Linked DNA regions of Xenopus tropicalis. The protein of the gene in region 1 purifies or fractionates together with the protein of each later gene. This does not show direct contact. Links are inferred from orthologs where the notes say so. Each region holds a gene or a part of one and is shown in the gene's direction. Other genes may lie near its edges.

Region 1 (7,484 bases):
CAAATTACTCATCCCTAAATGGTAAATCTTTTTTCAAGAAATGGTTGGCTCAGTTACAAACAGTAAATGTATTTACCTTTTTAGTCTTGTTGGCAAAGGGGGCCTAACCAACCATTTTGTGTGTTCTTGTATATGCCATCTGAACCTGTGAGATGAACTGAAGCTCCTCTGTACCAACAGATGTTTGATAAAGTACAGATTTGGGATTCCTCATTTGGAAATCCATTATCTAGAAAGCTCTAATCTATGGGAAGACCATCTCCAAGTCCATTTTAGGGTGAAGATACACAGAGCTACTAGTAGCAACTACTTTTTCATGGCTACTAAACACCAGAAAATACCCTGCCATAGACAATACTGAGAATTACCACTGCTAAAACATATGTAGAGACAATTATCAGTAAAACATCAACATTGTCTATTTTAGTAGCCACAGCAATTAGCTGCTACTAGTTGCCCCATGTGTCTTCACCCTTAGGGCTGTGACAGACGGGGAGATTAGTTGCCCGCGACAAATATCCCTTGTCACGGGCGACTAATCTCCCTGATATGCCATCCCACCAGCTAGAATGTAAATTGCCGGTTGGATGGCATTTCGGGGAGATTAGTCACCCGCGACAAGGGAGATTTGTCGAACGGCGACTTATCTCTCCGTGTGCCACAGCCCTTAAGCAAATTACAATTTTTATTTTCTCTGTAATAAATAACCGTACCTTTTGTTGCACAGTGATTTATTTTGTCTGCCTTTATGTTTGGTATAAAATGTTTTTCCCCCCTTCTCTATTGCTGGCCAGCAAACCTTTTTTTCTGTCCACTTTATTTCTCTGCAGACAAAATAATAAACTATGCTATCTGTTTTACCCAGCATTACAAAAATCGCCAAAAATAGTACTTGCCATGTGTGTCTGTTTCCATTCAATACAATGTGAGCAGGAGACATGCACTGAGCTTAATTGGCAATTGGTAAAACCTGCAGCAAGTCTCCTCTAAACAAAATGTTTCTCTTATATGCTAATGACATTGTTGTGCCTGTTTTTTTTTCTATTAATAAGATTCTAAGCTTATAGAGCAATAGAAAGCAAAAGTTATATTTATATACATTTTTTTTGTTAATAGTTTGTTTTGTTGTAACTAAATGTGCCTTTAAAGGAGAAGGAAAGGTAAAAACTAAGTTAGCTTTATCAGAAAGGTCTATGTAAATACAGCCATAAGCACTCGCAGAAACGCTGCACTGACTTCTCTGTGAAAAGATTTCTTGTGTCTAATTCCTGTGCCAGAGACACGCAGCCTTCTGCTGTCTCCCCTCTCCTGCCCCCCCTCCCTTAAGAATGCTAAGAACTCCCTCCTCCCCCCCCCCCCCCTTAGGAATGTGGATTTCAGCCAATCAGTAGGAAGCTGACTCAGTCTAACTGAGCATGTTCACTTGGTCTGGGTGTCTGTGCAGGAGTGAAGCATTATGGGAACTTTCTTTACACAGCTCAGCGTTTTTTCTTCCTGTTTGGCTTCTGATCATCTGTACAGGACAAATATGGGGAGACTTAAGGGCACTATTGAGAGAACTGAAGGTATGCCTGCAGCTTGAGATTAACTCTTTACTAGCCTTTCCTTCTCCTTTAAGAGCATGGGCTGCTGGGAAAGGCAAACTCACATACTTAAGTAACATACATTAGAACTCCAGATCTCAGAGTATAGGGAAGCTGCCTGAAAAGAGGTAACTGAATGTGCGGTGTTTTATTCTGGAGTTGGAACTGTGCTTTCTGTGAAAAGTTAGCAAAGACGGTTTTGTTTTGATTTTTCGCTCTGGAAATAAATTTATCTTCCAACAACTGCCAGCTCCTGATCTTTAAAAAATGCTGTAAGTACCCACACCCTAACAACCTTGTACTTTATTAGGTTAGCTTTATGCTATGGTGGCCCACATGATAAAGACCCCCTTATCCACAAAACCCAATTTCAAGTTTGGCAGATCATAGATCCTCTATCTGAATAATAGAGGTCTGATAACTGTTAGAGGTAATGCTTGGCTACTTCCAATGTGTAGACTGGCTTATTAAAAAAAAAAAAAAAAAAAACACTTTAGGAAGGGCTCATACTATGTTGAAAGTAACTGAATTTATCAGCAGCAAATGCTTACATCACATATATATCCTTTATATCTGCCCTTTGGATGTGTATGTTACATGTATGGGTTTATTGTAGGCTTTTAAAAATGTTTGATGTATTTTCTCCATAGGCGATATTCATGGCCAGTACTATGACTTACTGCGATTATTTGAATATGGTGGTTTCCCACCTGAAAGCAACTACCTGTTCCTAGGAGACTATGTGGACAGAGGGAAGCAGTCTTTAGAAACGATCTGTCTTCTTTTGGCATATAAAATCAAATATCCAGAGAACTTCTTCCTCCTCAGAGGCAATCATGAATGTGCCAGCATTAACAGAATCTATGGCTTTTATGATGAGTGTAAGTACCTATGTTTTATTCTGTTTCACTTGGGATAGGATGTTGGCAAATTCATATTTAAAAGCTAAAAAATATTTAATGGGGTAGTTCTAGTTAACAAAATCTTAGACAAAGTGTGTGCTATTTTAGGACAATTTGCAACATGTCATTTTATTAAAATTTTTAGATTTGAGTGTAGAGAGCTGCTGAACAATTATTTGGTATTTGGTGTCATGTTGTGTGTGTGTGTGTGTGTGTGTGTGTGTGTTTTTTTTTTTTTTTTTACCCCTACAACTAGTCTCTTAAATCAGGGGTCCCCAACCGCCGGTCTGCGTTTTAGTGGGCCGTCTCTGTGAATATGCTGTGTGCATGAAGCACCGCCTGAAAAAAGGCACGTAGAAAAGAGTCACGTCTTTATAGGCGCAATGCATATGCGTACACAGCATATTCACCGCAAATTAAATGAATGCGCCGGGGGAGGAAAGCGCAGCACGGATCACCCTGCACATATAAAGGCGCAGATGGACACGCGGAAGAACACGTTGCGCATATAAAGGTGCGAGTGAATGCTTAATTGCCAGGCCTGCGCGCAGGTAGTTATTTTGAATTCCTGACTTGGGGGAGTTTTGGTTGAATAAATAAAAACAAGATTTATTATCAAATAAAGCCTCCTGTAAGCTGATAGTGTGCATATAGGCTGCCTAATAGCCAATCGTAGCCCTTATTTGGCTCCTCTATGAACTTTTATGATGCTTGTGTTGCTCTCCAAGTCTTTTTACATTTGACTGTGGCTCACGAATAAGAAAGGTTGGGGATCCCTGATGTAGATTCTGTATCTCAATCCGCTCAACATCAGCTCTCAGCTGCTGCCTAGTCTAGCGTAAAGCCCCACCCCTTTTCTTTGCTGACCTCTCCTTTTTAACGGTGAAGATGGTCGAAGAGGTGTCTACTGTACATGCCTGATTTCCATTGGAGCAGACACCTCTTAGACCATCTTTACCGCTAAAAAAAGATCTCTGCAAAGAAAAGGGGTGGGACTCCATGCTAGACTAGGAAGTATCTCAGAGATCTGTAGTTGAGCTGCTTGTGGTACACAAGCAGACTAAGTACAGACTTATGCATGTGGGCAGTACTATTATCTGTGTGCAGTTTTTTTGTTTTGTGGTGTTTTTTGACAGTTGTATTTTTTTTTTTTTATTTATACACAGGTAAAAGAAGATATAATATAAAGTTATGGAAAACATTCACAGATTGCTTTAATTGTTTGCCAATAGCTGCTATAGTTGACGAGAAGATATTTTGCTGTCATGGAGGTAACGAACTGTTTGGAATTTTGCAGGTTTCTTTAAAATGTCACGTCAGTTATGTTTTAGATCTTTATGTATATCCCTATTGCTTGTATACGGCTCAGTGCTCTTCCATCCCAAAGGCATATACATTCTGTGTGGTGTCCTTTGCTCCCATTTTTGTTAGCTTGCCAGTCAAGGAGCCCATTTTAAAGGTTTTCAAAATTGTTTAAAGTAAACGATCCACTCTACCCAGCTCCAATAATTGCTCTATCATGCTAAAAGATTCATGTTAAAATCTTTATCAAAATAATTATAATTTACAGGATATTCATGGCTTGTGTATTACATCTTTATAAATGGAGCTTAGTGATGTCATCCATTATAAAAAGTGCTTTGTGATGTAATTTGTCAGGTGACTTAATGAAACTTGTGTATTATAATAAATAATATACCCCCTGTTGTAAAATATGAAGATATTAGAAGTCGCCTTGGAGTTCTGTGACTTTGTCCTCGTACTTCTATATGGTCATGAAACACCTATATTTTACAACAGGGGGTACATTATTCACTATATAATACTCAATCACTATATAATACTCCATCACTATATAATACTCCATCACTATATAATACTCCAGTTGTAAACAGTCATAAATAATTTATGCTAAGGAAGTAACCCTGCCACACATACCTAAATTAAAGGCAAGCTGAAAAATCTGCTTTAGAGCCACAGCAACCAGCTTCCGATTTTAGTAGGTTTGTCTGGAAGTGCAGCGCCGCACCTTGGGTCTTGCAGATTGTGTGTTTTACCTTATTGGGAGTGTACAACCGGAAGCATTTTTATAACCGTACTTTTGATGAAACAGTGAATGTAATAAATCTGAAAGATAGAGCTGGTCCTCTAAGGTGTTTAAAACCTGCAACCCAGATACATATTCATATATGCTTCGAACGCTTTATTAAGGGTTAATTTAATGAAAACATTTCCAACTGAATGTGTATTTAGTTTGGTGAATGGTTTCCTTTCACAAACATATACAGGTTATGTAAAGGGGATCTGGGACTGTATATTGGTAATTATTGCTGGATATCTTAGTACCAGCAGCTTTGGTAGCCTTGATTAGAAAAGGTTCACCTGCAACATTGCCTTGCTAAGAATTCTAAAAATGAACTTTGTTGCTGGTGGGAGTTGGGCTTGACTGATGCTTTTAGCAAGAATGGAGTTAAACTGCACAAATCATTACATACCGAAGTGATTTGCAGTTGAATGAAGTGTTAGGTAATGTCTCTCATAACCAGATCATGTGGGAATTATACCAGTCAGCGGTGGTTATATTTGCTGCTGTGCATATGAGCCTGCGGTAGGTGTCTAATCCTCAAGTATAATGTAAATTGAAGGCTGCCAGTGCTTGGACTCCTTATATTCTAGCATCTAAGTCTGTATTATGTTTGTATCCCTGCTTCATTCAATTGCAGTTTAGACCAGGGCTGTGGAGTCGGAGGCAATTTTGGGTACCTGGAGTCAGAGTCGGCAAAAAATGAACCGACTCAGACTAAATTTAATAAATTTAAAATTTAATAAAATAATTTAATTTAATAAATAAAGCAAGTTTAAATGTCCCAATTCACAAACAGTCATAATTAATTACTTCTCTGCTATAAGAATAAAGCCCAATGCACGCAGTGCATAAACACGTTGAGTGACCATGAAGCTTTTCATTGACTGTATGAATGTATAAAATACATTAGCATATTAAATACAGAGGAGTCGGAGTCGGAAGTATCAAACTGAGGAGTCGGAGAATTTATCTACCGACTCCACAGCCCTGGTTTAGACAGACTGCACTGAAAAAAATTTTTAGGAACTGTAACACCATTTTTGCAAGTTTTGCATTTACTTTTTATACATAGTATTCATATTGTTATGCTGTCAATGATGTGCCATATTGCAGCTCAGTCTGATCAAAGTTAACTGCCCCAACTTGTTACCTAGCCTGTAATCACAGCAGGCTTTTTATTCTCCAGCTGAATCCCAGCATTAATGAAAAAGGGTAGGAGTGGTTTGGTCTAGTTACAAGTGTATTTTGTCTTTAAATATCTAGCAATCTTATACTAACATGTGACTTTATTTTATAGGTTTGTCTCCAGACCTTCAGTCGATGGAGCAGATCCGACGAATTATGCGTCCTACTGACGTTCCAGACCAGGGTCTTCTGTGTGACTTACTTTGGTCTGATCCTGACAAAGATGTCCTAGGGTGGGGTGAAAATGACAGAGGTGTATCTTTTACTTTTGGAGCTGAAGTGGTTGCAAAATTTCTACACAAACATGATCTGGATCTCATTTGCCGAGCTCATCAGGTATATTGTAAACTAATTGTGTGTTTTGTCTACCTGTAACAAAAGTGGGTTAGTGTATTGCGTATCACAGGATCACTTATGGTAAAACCACCTTGTATGTTTTTCAGTACAGTCTGTTGGCTAAAAACATTCCATTTTGCTTTCATATACAACATGCTGCTAACTTGAGCTGTAAGTTCTGACTTGTACTGTTTCTGAAAAGTGAAATACGCAAAACAGGCTTTGGGTTTTTGTTCTGCCTAATGTAACATTTGTTTGGAACCCTAAATTAATGGCGCTTTTTCTTTTTCAGGTGGTTGAAGATGGGTATGAATTTTTTGCCAAGAGACAACTGGTTACTTTGTTCTCAGCCCCAAACTATTGTGGAGAATTTGATAATGCTGGAGCAATGATGAGTGTAGATGAAACGTTAATGTGTTCCTTCCAGGTAAGATTGGGTATATTTTTAATTCACTTTCAACATGGAAAAAAAGTGTAATAGCAGTGGAAGAAAGCCTATGCCCTGTAGCTAGCTACTTCCTAATTGGAGACCTTTTTGGCTCGGTCCTGTAGTTGGCCCAGTGGATGATGTGGGTTATACATCAGGCGAATGACCGCGTTGTAGTTGTCCTGTTCTTGTGGAAGTTTCTGCTTGCCTATAATATATATTTTTTTTATATTTTTTCTTGACTGTTACAGTAAGTATTGTGTTGCCTTAAGCACATGCCCTCAGGTGCCTATAAATAAAATACATGTCTTGCTGTGCCAAGCAGTGACATTCCACATGTCTCACTGTGTTAATAATTCCCTTGTAAGTAGGAAGGGAAAGTTTGTGACTGGCCTGTAAATGTCCCTGTGCATAGGTTTTGCAATATCTTGGTCCTTACCAGCACACACACCTGGAGGTACACAATTTTAGCATGTTTGTTATGGACTTTCAGATGGCTGTATGATCTTTAATAACCTGGGTACTGCAGCAGAGGTTTTTCCTGAAATACCAGAAGTGCTTGGGATATGATCATCTGAAGCTATTCTGTATATACTAAAATGCATATGGAAAGTTGTTTTTTTTTTTTTTTTTTTTTTTTTTATAAATACGCACCAACATTCTACAGCTCTATACAGTAAATGGGGTTATACATTGTACATGCAGACTTGCATGCAAATGTTCTCAATCATATATTGCTTTTCCCTGCTATCTGCCTCAGGTATAGAAGCAGGACAGTTACTTTTCATTCAGTATTACACAAATACACAACTTGCCTAATAACAGTGCCCACAAAATGGCACCTGCCTACTTTTTTTTTTTTTTAAATTATTTTCTTAGGCTAGCAAATCCCCTTTTAGCTTTATTTTGCCATTTAAAAAAAAAATTTAATTAAAATACACCATTAATGCCATGATACACTATGA
Region 2 (8,127 bases), on another chromosome or scaffold:
CTACACAGAAACACTGTGCCCTCTGCTGGTCAGGAATGGCACTGCAGCGCAGGCTCAGTGTAACAGTACGGCCGGTATAACCTGTGCTTGGTGCTGTCTCAGCTATTGTATCTGCTACACAGAAACACTGTGCCCTCTGCTGGTCAGGAATGGCACTGCAGCGCAGGCTCAGTGTAACAGTACGGCCTGTATAACCTGCGCTTGGTGCTGTCTCAGCTATTGTATCTGCTACACAGAAACACTGTGCCCTCTGCTGGTCAGGAATGGCACTGCAGCGCAGGCTCAGTGTAACAGTACGGCCGGTATAACCTGCGCTTGGTGCTGTCTCAGCTATTGTATCTGCTACACAGAAACACTGTGCCCTCTGCTGGTCAGGAATGGCACTGCAGCGCAGGCTCAGTGTAACAGTACGGCCGGTATAACCTGCGCTTGGTGCTGTCTCAGCTATTGTATCTGCTACACAGAAACACGGTGCCCTCTGCTGGTCAGGAATGGCACTGCAGCGCAGGCTCCCGGCGAGGGATGAGAGGGGAGAAGTGGGTGTGATGATTGGAAATGCACTGCTCCCCCAAACTAGTGCTCCTTACCTTTCCTGCTGGAGAGCTGATTGGGCGAATAATCTCCGCTCCGGGCAGGGTGAAACTGCTCTCCCTGAGTGACACTCCGTTCTGTAAGTCCACGTCAAACAGGTGAGCCTTGCGGTACACGGATACTATGTGCCCTGTGTCAGAGGAACATGGGAAATGCTCAGCTTTGACTTAACTTTTAATAGAGAGCAGAGAGGGATATTCTGAGACAATTTGCAATTGGTCTTCATTTTTTATTACTTGCCGTTTTTTTAAATAATTCAATAATTGTTCAGCAGCTCTGCAGTTTGGAGTTATAACAGCTATCTTGTTACTAGGGTCCAAATGACCGTAGTAACCAGGGAGCGGTTTGGATGAGAGGCGGGTATATGAATAGGGGAGGGGCTGAATAGAAAGATAAGGAATAAAAAGTAACAATAACAATAAAACTGGAGCCTCACAGAGCAATAGGGTTTGGCTGCCGGGGTCAGTGACCCCCATTTGAAAGCTGCAAAGAGGCAGAAGAAGAAGGAAAATAATTCGAAAACTCTACGAAATAAGTAATGAAGACCAATTGAAAAGTTGCTTAGAATTGGCCATTCTATAACAGACCAGCTGTGCCAATGAGCCCCTTACACACGGACGTTGAGGGACAGAACCTTTCTGCAACATTACTGAACCCGGAGAGGAAAGAGTGGGTGTGGCTAAATTCTCTCCGCCCCCATTTCCCCAGAATACTGTGCTGTAAGTGCAGTGGCCCTACCTGTATTGTCCAAGACCACGTGAGAATTGGAAATGCGTCGGTCCGTGTCCCAGTTGGGTCCTTTCTCGTGGAATCCCCCCAGGGAAAGCCAAAGGCCGCACTCCCTGGTATAAAGCAGCGATACGGGGGGGGGTTAGGAATATACACTGTATAGGGCAAAGCTGGGGGGTTGCACCCCATCCCCGGGGCATCGGCACATACCCACCTGGCAAGCTGGGAGTAACGCTGGATAGTGTCCCCATGGAGGGTCTCGGCCAGGCTCAGCGTCTCCTCGGCGTTGCCCCCAATATAGTCAAAGGCTTCCGGCAGGAACACCATGCAGGCCCCCCGCGCCGCAGCCCCCCGGATCAGCCCCCAACACGTGGCGAAATTCTTCTCCTTGTCGGACGTAGAAGTCATCTGGCACACCGCAATCAGGGGCTTGGCAGCACTCGCCATGGCGCTCAGTCGTCTAACCCTGTAAATGGGAAACATGATTGGGGGATTTAGTCCAATCAGAACAGTCGTAATCCCTCCCACTCAAAGGGAGGTACCTAGGCAATGGTGGCAGTGAGCTCTGCAGGTAATTTACCCCCCGGCCAGTCACTGGGGTGCCTGACAGATAATCAGCCCCACTGTGGTGATATCTAGGAAGTGCTGAATGGAAAGTAAAAGTCATTGTAATTGAAAAAATCTGAGCTGTCAATCATATATTGCCTGCCCCGCCTCTATGCCGAAGGCATAGATATATAGGCAATATATGATTGACAGCTCAGATTTTTAAATACATTTATAACAAGTATGGATGATTTCATTAAAAAAAAGAATTTGGGTTTCATGTTTCAGTTGCCTGGTTGCTAGGGTGCAAAGTACCCTAGCAACCAGGCTTTGATTCGAACGAGAGAAGGGAATATGAATAGGAGAGGGGCTGAATAGATAGGTAATTGATATAAAGTAACAGTAACAATAAAACGGGTCAGTTCTCCTGTTGCTAGGGCTCAAATTACCTTAGCAACCAGGGAGTGGATTGAATGAGAGACTGGTATATGAATAGGGGAGGGGCTGAATAGAAAGATAAGGAATAAAAAGTAACAATAAAACTGGAGCCTCACAGAGCAATAGGGTTTGGCTGCCGGGGTCAGTTATACTGTTGCTAGGGCTCAAATTACCTTAGCAACCAGGGAGTGATTTGAATGAGAGGCTGGCATATGAATAGGGGAGGGGCTGAATAGAAAGATAAGGAATAAAAAGTAACAATAACAATAAACTGGAGCCTCACAGAGCAATAGGGTTTGGCTGCCAGGGTCAGTTATACTGTTGCTAGGGCTCAAATTACCTTAGCAACCAGGGAGTGATTTGAATGAGAGGCGGGTATATGAATAGGGGAGGGGCTGAATAGAGAGATAAGGAATAAAAAGTAACAATAACAATAAAACTGGAGCCTCACAGAGCAATAGGGTTTGGCTGCCGGGGTCAGTTATACTGTTGCTAGGGCTCAAATTACCTTAGCAACCAGGGAGTGATTTGAATGAGAGGCGGGTATATAAATAGGGGAGGGGCTGAATAGAAAGATAAGGAATAAAAAGTAACAATAAAACTGGAGCCTCAAAGAGCAATAGGGTTTGGCTGCCGGGGTCAGTTATACTGTTGCTAGGGCTCAAATTACCTTAGCAACCAGGGAGTGATTTGAATGAGAGGCGGGTATATAAATAGGGGAGGGGCTGAATAGAAAGATAAGGAATAAAAAGTAACAATAACAATAAAACTGGAGCCTCACAGAGCAATAGGGTTTGGCTGCCGGGGTCAGTGACCCCCATTTGAAAGCTGCAAAGAGGCAGAAGAAGAATTTATTTAAAAACTATAAAGAAATAAATGGGAAACAGGATTGGGAGATTTAGTCCAAGACACTAAGTGCTAAGACTTTACTTTCCCTTTAATCTCTTTACCAAGATAGGGAATGAGCTGGGAACCCCAAGATGAACCCCATTTGACTTGTTATTCTCTAGTGTAGTTATATATGTTTATTTAACCTGCATCTGGGCAGAGAAACCCCAGAAATGGTGGCTGACCAATAACAGGCGCACTAGGGAGTAGTCACATGACAACAGGAGGCTAACGTCAGCTCCCCGGGCTTTGGCTGAGCATTCTGGGATCTGTAGTTTAGAGACTTCCGGACACCCCATTAGCCAATCGCATTACGCAGCCCCCCCGCACGGGCTATAAAGAAGCGGCGATATATCTGACACACACACTTTCCCAGGAGGCCTCAGCTGTCACAATGTGTTGACGTCACTTACTACGGCCCGACTATGACGCGGCTTATGCGCCCCACCAACCAGGCGCTTCCAGTCATGCTTTTCCCTCTCTCAACATGGCGCCGCCAGGACTTCCCGGGCGGAAGTGGCGTCGGAACGCATAGACTTCCGCTGCGCGGAGAAGGTGCGCAGTGCGAGAGAGAAGCGTGATGGCGTCTAATGCAGCGAAGCAGGTGGCGGCCGAGCAGGTACTGGGCATGGTGGGCATAATGGCTGCTGGGGGGTCTGCCCGGCCGGTACCCCCCCCCCCCAACCGGCCGTTTAAAGGGCAACTAAGCCCAAAGCCCTTTTTTCATTATGGCCATTCATTCCCTTATATAGACACATGTGCTATTATAAGCTCAGTGGGAACAGGCTTCCTTGGGCATTTACTCAGATTCATTCCCTATTGGGATCCCTGATAGCCTTCCCACAGCAGCCCAGGAGCAGCCGGCTCTTCTGCTTCCTAGAAACTGTTGCTAGCCAGCTTGGTAGCAGTGTTGCTATGGTACTGAGCTGTTAGTGATATCCCATAATCCCTCAGTTGGAAGGGGGTTCAACAATGGGACTGGGGCACCTTAGTGTTTTATTATTACAGAGAAAAGGGAATCATTTAACCATTAAATAAACCCAATAGGGCTGTTCTGCCCCAATAAGGGGTAATTATATCTTAGTTGGGATCAAGTACAGGTACTGTTTTATTATTACAGAGAAAAGGGAATCATTTAACCATTAAATAAACCCAATAGGGCTGTTCTGCCCCAATAAGGGGTAATTATATCTTAGTTGGGATCAAGTACAGGTACTGTTTTATTATTACAGAGAAAAGGGAATCATTTAACCATGAAATAAACCCAATAGGGCTGTTCTGCCCCCAATAAGGGGTAATTATATCTTAGTTGGGATCAAGTACAGGTACTGTTTTATTATTACAGAGAAAAGGGAATCATTTAACCATTAAATAAACCCAATAGGGCTGTTCTGCCCCAATAAGGGGTAATTATATCTTAGTTGGGATCAAGTACAGGTACTGTTTTATTATTACAGAGAAAAGGGAATCATTTAACCATGAAATAAACCCAATAGGGCTGTTCTGCCCCAATAAGGGGTAATTATATCTTAGTTGGGATCAAGTACAGGTACTGTTTTATTATTACAGAGAAAAGGGAATCATTTAACCATTAAATAAACCCAATAGGGCTGTTCTGCCCCCAATAAGGGGTAATTATATCTTAGTTGGGATCAAGTACAGGTACTGTTTTATTATTACAGAGAAAAGGGAATCATTTAACCATTAAATAAACCCAATAGGGCTGTTCTGCCCCCAATAAGGGGTAATTATATCTAAGTTGGGATCAAGTACAGGTACTGTTTTATTATTACAGAGAAAAGGGAATTGTTTAACCATTAAATAAACCCAATAGGGCTGTTCTGCCCCAATAAGGGGTAATTATATCTTAGTTGGGATCAAGTACAGGTACTGTTTTATTATTACAGAGAAAAGGGAATCATTTAACCATGAAATAAACCCAATAGGGCTGTTCTGCCCCCAATAAGGGGTAATTATATCTTAGTTGGGATCAAGTACAGGTACTGTTTTATTATTACAGAGAAAAGGGAAATAACTTTTTAACGTGATTAAAAAAGAAGTCTATGGAACATTATGGATAAAGGGTTTCTGGATATTGGACCCCATAGGCCCCTGTAAGAAGATGAGCCAATGCTGGGCTGATCTGTTTGCCCACATTGTTTAAGAGTTGCCATTAAAGGGAAAGTTAAGCCAAATACCCTTGTTTAATATGTACGTTCTGTGTTTGTTGCTACAGGTGGTGGCTGGATTTAATCGCCTGCGCCAGGAGCAGCGAGGTCTCGCGTCCAAGGCAGCGGAACTGGAGATGGAGCTTAACGAACACACGTGAGTCTCATTAGCAAACAGGTCGTTCAGCAATGAAGAATCCTTCAATGTGATTCTCCCCGAGGGTCGTTATTCCTCTCTGTTGCACGCTACATTTGTTCTGTAGTCGGAACCAGTGCAGATCTCCCTAACTAACTGACAGTCGTCTCCCTCGCTCCGCAGGTTGGTTATCGACACCCTGAAGGAAGTGGAGCAGGGCAGGAAGTGTTTCCGGATGGTCGGGGGGGTACTGGTGGAACGCACCGTGAAGGAAGTGCTTCCGGCTTTGGAGAATAATAAAGAGCAGGTAAGGCTCTGCCTTGTGGGCACCTAATTAAAGGGCATATTAACCTTTATTGGGGGCAGAACAGCCCTATTGGGTTTATTTAATGGTTAAATGATTCCCTTTTCTCTGTAATAATAAAACAGTACCTGTACTTGATCCCAACTAAGATATAATTACCCCTTATTGGGGCAGAACAGTCCTATTGGGTTTATTTAATGGTTAAATGATTCCCTTTTCTCTGTAATAATAAAACAGTACCTGTACTTGATCCCAACTAAGATATAATTACCCCTTATTGGGGGCAGAACAGCCCTATTGGGTTTATTTCATGGTTAAATGATTCCCTTTTCTCTGTAATAATAAAACAGTACCTGTACTTGATCCCAACTAAGATATAATTACCCCTTATTGGGGCAGAACAGCCCTATTGGGTTTAATGGTTAAATGATTCCCTTTTCTCTGTAATAATAAAACAGTACCTGTACTTGATCCCAACTAAGATATAATTACCCCTTATTGGGGCAGAACAGCCCTATTGGGTTTATTTCATGGTTAAATGATTCCCTTTTCTCTGTAATAATAAAACAGTACCTGTACTTGATCCCAACTAAGATATAATTACCCCTTATTGGGGCAGAACAGCCCTATTGGGTTTATTTCATGGTTAAATGATTCCCTTTTCTCTGTAATAATAAAACAGTACCTGTACTTGATCCCAACTAAGATATAATTACCCCTTATTGGGGGCAGAACAGCCCTATTGGGTTTATTTAATGGTTAAATGATTCCCTTTTCTCTGTAATAATAAAACAGTACCTGTACTTGATCCCAACTAAGATATAATTACCCCTTATTGGGGCAGAACAGCCCTAAGATATAATTACCCCTTATCAAAGCATTCAAGACCAAGTAAATGTTAGTTGGGGAGGGCGGAGCTTGACACTGGCTAGGGTGTGGCTACAGACATGAAACACAAGTGATTGGCTGCCCTGGGCAGTTGCATTCAGCTCTTGCCCTGCCATTCTGAGCTACATTGGGTGATACTGGGTGGCCCTGGCATGTAGCTGCCCCCCCCCCCCCCCCAGTTCTGAGCGTAACCCCCACGTCTCATCTCTCTGCAGATTAACAAGATCCTGGAGTCCCTGAGCACACAGCTACAGACCAAGGGCCGAGAGCTGAATGAGTTCCGGGAGAAGCACAACATCCGGATCATGGGGGAGGATGAGGCCAAGCAGCCCCCCAAGGAGGGCGGGGACAGTGACGGCTCCAAGCCCAGCTCTGCAGGTGTCCTTGTGTCCTGATACAGAGCGTGCCCGTGCCCGGTCTGCCCAGAGTGAGCTCAGGCTCCTGTCTGATTGGACGCAACCATGCACAGACCCCCCCTTCCTTTCCCAGTTCATGCTCTTAGGCCCGAGGAGACTTCTGGTGGACTTTATGCATTATGGGCACTTCAGCAGTTGGGCTACCGTTTGCCCCCGCAGTTGCCCGGGGCTTCATGCGATGCCTTATTAGTCCGGGCACCACCCAATTCCCAGTTTGTCCCAGTCGTTCTGCAGTCATGTTAGTTCCACCCCCTTACCCCAGGGATGGGGTCTGCTCTAACAGCTGTTTGGAACCACAACTCCATATTAAGCTGAAAGCTCAGGGATGATGGGAGTTGTAGTGCAAACAAACTGGAGGGCTCCACCCCCTGGCATTGGCGTTTATAGTGCATATAGGCCGTATGTCATTATTAGGACAAGTCCCCTGGGACATTTCATTAAGCTTCAGTCTCCATGTTCCCTGGGTAAGTGAATCTAATTTCCCCCTATGGGCTGCTCTCTTTCCCATGGTCAAACAGGGGGGTGGGGCTTTAACCCAACTGAGAAGTCTTTAGTGGGTGGGTCCTCTATTGCATGATATCTATGTAGTAATTGTAGTGCAGGTCTGACCCTGTCAGTTATGTGCAGGCCACACCCCCTCACCATGGGAAAGAGAGCAGCCCAATAGCAGTATAGATGATCAGAGTTCCCTGTCTGAGTATTGGGGAAATTAAATCAGCTTACCCTTAGGAAAGTAGGCTCAAGTCTTATCCTGCAAAGGCTTGTGGGATACCTACTGTCTAATGTTTTTTTTTTTTTTTTTTTTTTCAAGTTATTAAACTTTATTTGCATGTTCATTATTTTGGGGGCGTGTCCCAAGGTTTTTATTTATTTTAACTTAACGGGTTTATTTTACCTTGAACATTTCCACTGTCAGATACAGGCGGCACCCAGCAAGGCTCCTTGGGTGTCTCACAGGGACAGACAGGGGGGGGGGGGGTCCCTATCCAACTGGGGGGGGTCCCTATCCAACTGGGGGGTGGT

What was found. Proteins that work in one complex are often made in the same cells at the same time.
Region 2: the proteins of ppp1cc (region 1) and pfdn2 purify together in Homo sapiens (affinity purification with mass spectrometry; 4 studies listed by BioGRID and IntAct, with this or other methods). This does not show direct contact. The link is inferred for Xenopus tropicalis from reciprocal best matches to the Homo sapiens genes PPP1CC and PFDN2.

The regions. Positions count from the first base shown.
Region 1 is NC_030677.2:162,944,013-162,951,496, reverse strand, and holds part of ppp1cc (serine/threonine-protein phosphatase PP1-gamma catalytic subunit), read left to right. Parts: intron 1-2,233; coding exon 2,234-2,464; intron 2,465-3,651; coding exon 3,652-3,756; intron 3,757-5,868; coding exon 5,869-6,092; intron 6,093-6,384; coding exon 6,385-6,519; intron 6,520-7,484. UniProt on the Homo sapiens protein: Protein phosphatase that associates with over 200 regulatory proteins to form highly specific holoenzymes which dephosphorylate hundreds of biological targets.
Region 2 is NC_030684.2:143,078,588-143,086,714, reverse strand, and holds pfdn2 (prefoldin subunit 2), read left to right. Parts: upstream 1-3,769; 5' UTR 3,770-3,772; coding exon 3,773-3,811; intron 3,812-5,428; coding exon 5,429-5,517; intron 5,518-5,679; coding exon 5,680-5,803; intron 5,804-6,903; coding exon 6,904-7,083; 3' UTR 7,084-7,943; downstream 7,944-8,127. Other genes in the region: nit1 (deaminated glutathione amidase), read right to left, coding at 588-721, 1,330-1,433, 1,535-1,767. UniProt on the Homo sapiens protein: Binds specifically to cytosolic chaperonin (c-CPN) and transfers target proteins to it. Binds to nascent polypeptide chain and promotes folding in an environment in which there are many competing pathways for nonnative proteins.